2 linked regions of the Caenorhabditis elegans genome follow. The protein of the gene in region 1 interacts with the protein of each later gene in a pairwise test. Each region holds a gene or a part of one and is shown on either strand. Other genes may lie near its edges.

What was found.
Region 2: the proteins of lap-1 (region 1) and lbp-6 interact in a two-hybrid assay, tested with the Caenorhabditis elegans proteins (one study listed by BioGRID).

What each region holds. Positions count from the first base shown.
Region 1 is NC_003281.10:8,398,493-8,403,887, forward strand, and holds lap-1 (Leucine aminopeptidase 1), read right to left. Parts: upstream 3,437-5,395; 5' UTR 3,418-3,436; coding exon 3,276-3,417; intron 2,625-3,275; coding exon 2,305-2,624; intron 1,958-2,304; coding exon 1,609-1,957; intron 1,564-1,608; coding exon 1,434-1,563; intron 1,388-1,433; coding exon 1,165-1,387; intron 1,118-1,164; coding exon 806-1,117; 3' UTR 700-805; downstream 1-699. Other genes in the region: ZK353.2 (uncharacterized protein), read left to right, coding at 232-350, 398-487, 554-644; cutc-1 (Copper homeostasis protein cutC homolog), read right to left, coding at 4,031-4,466, 4,799-5,115; ubxn-4 (UBX domain-containing protein 4), read right to left, coding at 5,332-5,395. UniProt on the Caenorhabditis elegans protein: Probably acts as a digestive enzyme.
Region 2 is NC_003279.8:6,727,796-6,731,332, forward strand, and holds lbp-6 (Fatty acid-binding protein homolog 6), read right to left. Parts: upstream 1,582-3,537; 5' UTR 1,572-1,581; coding exon 1,365-1,571; intron 811-1,364; coding exon 610-810; 3' UTR 501-609; downstream 1-500. Other genes in the region: mec-6 (Mechanosensory abnormality protein 6), read left to right, coding at 88-246; ant-1.2 (ADP/ATP translocase), read right to left, coding at 2,262-3,164; lbp-5 (Fatty acid-binding protein homolog 5), read right to left, coding at 3,535-3,537.

The sequences.
Region 1 (5,395 bases):
AAACAAATTTTTCGTGTTGAGACCGGTACCGTACACCTATAGCGCAAATTACGCTAAATTTTGCATCTGTTAAATGTGTAATATTTGGGTCCCATCGAGATTTACTGTCTAAATTTCAAACTTTACGAAAAATGTTACATAATGTTCTATTTTTGTACTCTCGTCTCCATGTCCACTAGTTTTACAGGTTACTGTTCCTTTCAAAATCTTTTTTTCTCAGAATAAAAAACAATGTCATACGGATATGGTGGATACGGTAATTGTGGTGGTGGAATACTTGGATCAGTTCTTGGAATGGCTGGTGGAATGGCTGGAGGATACGGTGGATATGGTGGATATGGAGGTTATGGGTTTGTTTATTTTGAGTAGATCATTGTTCAACTCTTCGTTATTCCAGAAGATGTGGAGCAGATAATGTGTTTTATCGTTGGCGTTGTTGTGACTACAGTCCTTATGAATGTTGTATACAATTGGAGACATGGGTTGTGTGAGTTTAACTGTTTTTAAAAAGTTTTCAGAAATGCAAGAACACTTATTTTTGATTGAATTTCAGAGTATTTCTTGTCATATTCATAATTGGATTCTTCGTATGTCTTTGTGCTTGTCTAGCCGGATGTGTGTGGTCAGCTCGTAATCGTGAATAATTCCAATGTTTGACAATCAACTTATTAATTGTGATTTTGAAGGTTTCGATATGTATTTACCTCACCATTTATATGCAGTTTAAAAATAAAATAAGTAAAAACCCAGACATAATACACAGAAATAAACATGACGTATATTGAAATCATTGAATACGGGACAATTACTGTTTGAGCATAGGCACTGAAGTGTACTTTCCAAGAAGAGTCGAGAAAAGAGCTGGACCATATCCTGTACCACGATCTCCAACTTCAGCGGGAGCAGCGATATCAAGATGAAGCCAACGTAGTCCTTCGCCAAAACCAATGTGAGCACCAATAAAGAGGCCAGCGACTGCAGATGGTGGTCCATCCATTTTTCCGAGATTCGAATTTTTCATGTCAGCAATAGAAGATTTCAAGTCACCAAAGAAAAGATCCGGGGCAAAAAGCATTGGGGCAACCAAGTCTCCTGAAGCCTTTCCAGCTTTGATGATCTAAGAATGTAAAAATTAAATTGTTATTCTTTTAATGAATGACCAACTTCGTTCTCCAACTGTTCATCATTTGTCATAGCAGCTCCGTGAAGACGTCCTGAAAGCCACGCTTGTGCACCGGTCAGAGTAGCCATATCGAATATAGTTGTTGCTTTGAGAGTCTCTTTTGCATAGAAAACTCCGTCAGCAAGAATCAAACGACCTTCTGCGTCAGTATTGTTGATTTCGACGGTCTTTCCACTCAACATTTTGATAATATCATCAGGCTTGCTGGAAATTAAATCATAAAGTAAAATTGAATTGAAGTTAAATATACTTTGCAATTGGGCTGACATTATTCTCAACAATACAGAGACAAGCATGGAGAGTTTGTGAAAAACCGTGTTTGACAAGAGCAGAGTAAGCTTCAAGCATTCCAGCGGCACCTCCCATATCTCTTTTCATATCTGAAAAAATCCATTTTCATAAATAATAATTGAAGTTTTTCATACTTGGCATTCCAGTCTTGGTCTTAATTTGCAAGCCTCCAGTGTCGTATACAACTCCTTTTCCGACAAGTGCAATGTGCTCCGTCGATCCAGGAACCTCATGGGACAAGACAACAAACGCAGGTGGTGTTGGACCAGCTTTTCCGACGTGATAGATTCCGCCAAATCCAGCCTTCAACAGTTCTTCCCCACGGATCACTGTTATTTTTGATCCAGTCGCATTTCCAACTTTGACTGCTTCATCAACAAGAGCATCAGTAGTCAGGATATTGGCTGGAGTATCGATGAGTCTTGCGGTTTCACGGACCGATTCTGAGAGATCAGTAAGGAAAACTGCATCCTCGTTGGTGAGCTGCAAAGAAATTGAATGTTTGTTTTTCAATTAAAACAAAACAATTAATTCGGATTTTGAGATTGAGATCTTGAAGGACACATAACTTTCTTATCAACGGAAGTTCATGAAGACCGCCGAATTTTGCAGAAGCTATCAAATGATTCTACTAGTTCCTCTTTTTTAATTTCGTCACACTACGCAATAAACTCTTATCGTATTTCTACATTATCAGCACACAATTCCAGAAAAGAATAGTCTCCAGGCTGACTTTGCAAATAGAAGCAAGCACATGGTGTCTGCTGTCTATCAGTGATGATAAAACTATACAGATCAATATATCAAAATGAAGGATAGTTGTCACATACCTTGTCGCAAACCACATCGATATTCACATTCAGTTCACGAATTCCTGAAGTTTTCATCGAGAACTTGCAGAAGGTCCGAGCAATAGCCGCAACGTGAGAAAGAACATCTGGATATTCAGCAAACAGCACAAAATGAACATTCTTTGTATCCTCAGGATAGTTGATTGGTTTTAACTCCTTATATATCGAATGAGCATTAGTGGGGGTATTTCCACGTGAAGAGGCATCTGGGACAGTGATCAAATGAGCCAGCTCGTAGTGAAGAGGATGACGTCCTGAGGCGGGGATTCGAGAAATCATAGAGTTCCATGAGTCGCCATCTGAAATTATTTTTATATTATGGAAAAGTATGAACCATCTGCAGATGCAAAATGTTGTTCTCTTTACACCAACCATACGGTACCAGGTCTCGACAAGAGACATTTTTGTAAACTACAGGGAGGTGTGGGTCTTTTAGAGTACTGTAATTTCAAAATCTCATTTATTCTGAATGGTTCATGATTTTCCATACATACCTGTGCGGCATTTGGTTTCGGCATTTGAACAAAATGCACTTTTTCATAAATATGAAAATACGTCATACGGCATACGGCATACGGCATTCGCCATACGGCATTTGGGTGCATATCTCGAGCAGGGGTAAACTTTTTTTGAAATTTTTTTGACTGGTGACAAGCCTAAGAGTCAGGCTTCTCATCGTATGCTATTTCATACATATACGTATTTTCATATTTATGAAAAAGTGCATTTTGTTCAAATGCCGAAACCAAATGCCGCACGGGTATGTTTCCATAGTCTCTTCCGCGCTTTGTTAAAATGTATGTGTTTTTATTTAATATATGTTTAATATTTAGTATGTATATAGATATCTCTAGATATATATGAATTTTTTTAAACGAAAGTGACCATGTACCGTAATTTTGGACAAAAATCAAAAAACATCGCGTTTGTGTAATCTACCAAAACCGAACCTGTAACAAACTTTTGTGCGACTTCTTTGAATTTTCCTTCGAAAGTCACATTTTTCAAGACACTCTTCTTTCCAACAATGATTAGGCTAGTCAGGCCATCTCCAACAGCTTGAATCCCGTTACGAACGAGGACTTGTGTCATTTTTAGGTGACACTAATCACTGAAATTAGAAACTTTGAAAACCTTTTGAATTAAAAAAAAACAAAGTTGGAAAGTATAAACTATAGTATTCAGACTAAAAAAGGCAAACTCTTTTTAGAAAAAAGGTGTAAAAATTATTACTCAAATAAACCGTTTATCAGTTCCTCCAGCAGGTAGAGAAAGAGTGACCAGAGAAACATAAATGCGAGAAAAGGATGATAAAAAATGGCGAGAGAAAATGTAGAGCAAAAAAATGAGAAATTGAGAGAAGGAACAAATCTTCAGGGCGCGTGTTTGCATACATTCGTGGTCTAAAATTTGAGAGGTTGTGAAATAATGAGGAGCGAAATTTAAAATTTTAATTAAGTTCAAATCAACTCCTATATTAAAGTTGCCTAGGCATAAATAAATTGATAACCCTCACAATCCCGTAGAGTAAAAAAACATGCTACTTCGAATATCTAATTGATTAGTGAGCTTCTAAAATTAATAAATAACTTTCGGTACAGAAAAATTCTAGCCAACTAATTGCAAAACACAATGAAAATGTTAGAAACTATGATGAAGCATGCAATATAGACTGGAATATGACATGAAAAAGAATTGAACATAATTAAACGGGGGCCAATGTCGCTTTCAACATCCGTACTTCTTCCAAAGAAGTGACACGTGATGGCTGATTGTCCTGTTTTCCCATTGACACCTTATTCAATGGAGCATTTTTCTTGGCAACAGAAGCTGAAGCATGATACCAGTGACATTTAGTCCATTCGACAAGATTCGCGACATTCGAACTGTTCACACCACAACCTGCGAGAACATCGATCTTTCCTTTGTGAAGTTCTTGCATTTCTCGAATGATATAAACTCCGTCGAGTGCTGACGGCTCTTGTCCACTTGTCAAAACAGCTTTGAATCCAACATCAATAGCGTCCTCAAGACAAGTTTTCCAGTCATAGGCGACGTCAATTGCTCGATGAAATGTGACAGGATGTGGACGGGCAGTTTCAATTATTGATTGACATGATGTACGATCCAATGAACCGGCTCTGAAAATTGAAATTTTTTGTGGATCATCCAGAGCAATCAACCGTTATAATTACAAAACTTCTTTCGTAATTTTGCCGCATGTCTATGCATTTTAAATGTTTTTTAAAAACAAGCTTTCCGCATTGTTCAAAAATTAAGTCAGCCTAAAAATAATTATTTAAATGTTATGTAAAATTTTTATTGATAAACTTGATTGAGAATTTATTTGCGGAAAATGGTGAAAAATTCGAAATGAAACAAGAATATGTTTTTCTTTTTTCATTTAAACATGTTGGAAATAAAATTATAATATATTTATTTGTTTCATTCAATTTAAAACTCTCCGACTTACGATGTTAATGCTCCAAAAACGAATCCTGTGGCACCAGCTTTTTTGAGCCATTCAACGTCTTCCATATTCGCTGCCATTTCGTCTTCATTATACACAAAATCGCCTGCCCGTTGGCGAATCATACAATAAAGTGGAATATCGGGATACTTGTAGCTCAGAATAGACACAAATCCGACGGATGGAGTGAGCCCTCCGAGTTGTAAAGCTGAGCAAACTTCCAATCGATCAGCTCCACCGGCAACAGCATTTTCCGCAGATTCCAGATTATCGATGCATATTTCCAGTTTTATTTGCTTCTGGGATTCTGTTTCTGTCATCTTAACACAATAGAGTTTGAGAAAATATGTTTTTAACATTGTAAAGAATAGGTATAAAGTTATGGTTTAAAATCCGAAAACTCAGCAAGAAAACTGAACATATCTGGGATAAATGAAAACTTTTATTCGATTCGAATTATAAACGAGCAAAAAATAAATTATCCATGGCGATGAACTTTTGGTGTTGGAATCACAGGCGACAAGAAATTTACATTATTACATGAACTGAGTAGAATTTCCATTGAAACTGGCTCGCTCTTCAGGATCGTCTTCATTCGGA
Region 2 (3,537 bases), on another chromosome or scaffold:
ACTCTGTTTCCACGTTTTTTATCAATTCATTCAAATACTAATCAATGCGAAAAAGCGTCAAAAAATCAAAAATCGCATTTGTTTCAGGAAGAAGGCAACTCTTGGGTAACAACTGAACCGTATGCAAACGATGGAGCAACTATTTCGGCGAGTTCATCAGTTGTATTCACTGATGAACAAATGTTAATTGGAAGTTCATTTGGAAGACTTCTTCATTGTGATCTTACGCATTCATATATTACATAGTCAAACTTTTAGAGCTTATTTAAAAAATAAACCGATGAATATGATCTAGAAACAGATGTGTTGTAGACATTGTATCTAGATTTATTTATAAACTTGTCGAGGCGTAACGGGGGCGCCACGCCTCCACCCCTTTTCAATAGCCTTCCAGCGTTTTAGAGGAAAGTCGATTTATGAGAATTTAGCAGCTTTCAAATTAACTAATTTCTCGTCACAATTAGTCATTCTTAGTGTCTTGATTCGAAGTCTGATAATATATTTCTCATTTATTGCCATAAAGAAATAATTGTAATACTTTAAATTTCAATATTTACTATTAAATATCACAGGAAGACAAGAACAAAGCTCATGTTGGGAATTGAGAATCTATTCGCGAACGTACTCGCGGCGAGAAACAACGGATCCAGATTCAAGAGTAGTGATAAGCTTGTCTCCTTCGAGCCAACGGGTGATAATTGATTCCTTATCAGAGTCCTTGATCTTCTTTTGAATGTGAATGAATTTTCCGTTCTCGAAGTTGACAACTGACTTGACGGTACGGCCATCTGGAGTGGTCTCATCGAATTCCTGGGATAAAAACATTAAATATAAGTCTGAAGAATGCTAGTTCAATTTCAGGGTTGAAACAATTTTTATTGGATACAATTACTTGGAATTTGGGGATAACTTGCTCAAACCAAAAGCTCAAATGGATAGGATAAAATGTTGGCAGGAATTTGCTCACAGCAAATTGTGGGCAGAAAGTCGCTAAACTTTGTCCACAATTGCCGATATCAACGAACGTGCATTTTGAAATCAGATATTGTTTCTCATGGCTTTAAAAAAATATTATTCGTGCATGAAAAAACACGAAAACTATGGGAAATACATATTGTTTATCAAAGTCTTATAACAAGAAATCAATGATCATTTTATGATTTATGGTTTGAAATGTTATCACCTGGAATTTTAAGACTTTTTGTCTGTGAATATGGAAGTAACAATTTTTATTCATAAATTTGTAGTGCGTTTCTTTATTTTTATGTAACTTTTTTGTCGCAAATTTGGAATCAGAAAACCCACATTTTTTTTGATAACATTATTTTTGTCTTTTGTAAGTAAAAAACTTTGCACTTTCTTACCTGTCCCAACTTGAAAGAAAGAGTGGTGTTCTTGAATGTGGAGTATTGGTTGGAATACCACAAATCTCCTTCGACCTTGATTTCCAAAGTTGGCTTCAAGTTGGCAGCAGCCTTACGAGTGATCAATCCAACTCCAACCTCCTTCATGTACTCCTCGAAGTTCTCTGAGTGAATGAGCTTCCAGCGTCCAACGAATTCTTGAGACATGGTGATGGTTCTGTAAATAGAAGAAGTTGGAAAAGCAGGTAAAAAGTTCAATAGATTAACGGATATGTAATAGGTCTGAATAAAACGTTAGTCTGAAATTATGGTTAAAAAATCTTATTTTAAAAATTAATTTTAGAAGATGAACTATCATATCACTTGCAAATGGAAATAAAAGAAAAGTTGCAAATCAACAAGAAAACGAATGGCAATGCCTTGGGAAATCATTCGTATTTAGGTGGTCTGATAAATGGAATGATAGGGGGCAAGAGTGGGCGGAGATTCAAAACGTTTTCTCTATTTCTGTCTCCTCTATTTTTCGTTTCGTTTTTTTTTGAAGAATGATTCATTTTTTGATTCGTTGCATCATTTTTGAAAAATAAAAATAGAAAAGAGGAAAAGTGAGGAATTTTCAGTCGAATAAAAACAAAAATATTATCAAAAAAATTCTGAAATTTCTGAGGAGGAAAATATCGTTTTTGATTAAAGTATATCTAAGTTTTAATTTTTTTTAAATTTATTTTTTTTTGAGGTAAAAAACTAGTATCTTGTACATATATAGAAGCCCATTTTCAAATTGTGAAACTTAAACAATCTTCTTTTTTTTAAAATAAAGTAAAAATGCATTTTAAACAAAAAAATTTATTGGCAATGTTGTTTCAAAATTAACATATACATACTTTAATTCTGTAATTAAATTAAATGTTGAATCTCATCATAAATTGTGAGCACAAGAGCACCTCCAGTTGCTCGGAATACATTTGAAAGACCTCCTTTGTATAATGCAGTAATTCCTTCATTCTTCACAATCTTTCTAACACAATCCAAAGTGTTTTTATAGAGAATATCCTTTCTCCCTGATTGCATCATCATTCGACGACGTACTGTATCCCATGGATATGATAAATATCCAGAACCAACTGTTCCAACTTGAGCAATTGCCCATGTCGTAAAGAAATTGAGTTTTTGCCCGTCAGTTGAGTACAATGTTTTGGCAGTATCAAACATTCCGAAATATGCTGCACGATAAATTATAATTCCTTGTACTGAAACAAAAAATCCTCTATAAAGACCAATTGGTCCATCTGATTTCACAATTTTCACAAAACAATCCGTTAGACCTTGAAACTCTCTATCCACTCCTTTTCCAACATCGGCTCCAAGACGAGTACGCACAAAATCCAGTGGGTACACGAAGCATAGAGATGTTGCACCAGCTGCTCCACCAGAAGCGAGATTTCCAGCAAAGAATTTCCAGAATTCTTTATTCTTGTCAATTCCTTCTTGAAACATCTTCTTATAAGTGTCTTTGAATGCAAAATTCAGCGCTTGCGTTGGAAAATATCGAAGCACATTTGCAAGGTTTCCTCTCCAAAATGCTGCATATCCTTGTTCTTTTGGCACTCTAGCAAGAACATCCATAATTCCTTTATATTTTTTATCGGCAGTTACTGTTTCAGAGACATCACTGACTTGAAGTAGAAGCTTTACACGTTCAATTGGAGCAACGGCAGTTTTTGAGATTGCTGCAGCAGTGCCTCCGGAGGCGAGATCAACAAGAAACTTTCGATAATCAAATCCTTCCTTTGTGGTCATTTTGTCCTTCTGGAATGTTTTTTTTCAGAGATTATATTTCCTGAATGCTGATAATAAAACTTTCTTCAAATGCGAGTAGGAAGGAGCTCACTAGACTCTTCTCAAAATTTTGGTCATGAAAGTCTAATCAATATAAAGAATAAAATTAATTTAAAAAAAAAGAAAAATCTAAAACAAAAGTGTTTCTTTAAAAATTGTTGAAACTAATGAAAAATTTTACGGAAAATAAACAAGGCCTTTTTTAACAGAGACAGAGAAAAGAAAAGGGTTTCTGGTCCTTTAAAACGTCACTCTGCGTAAACAAAAACACTATTTTTCGCTATTTATTGCATCAAAGACCGAACAAAACAAGAACAATATTCAAAATAATCTA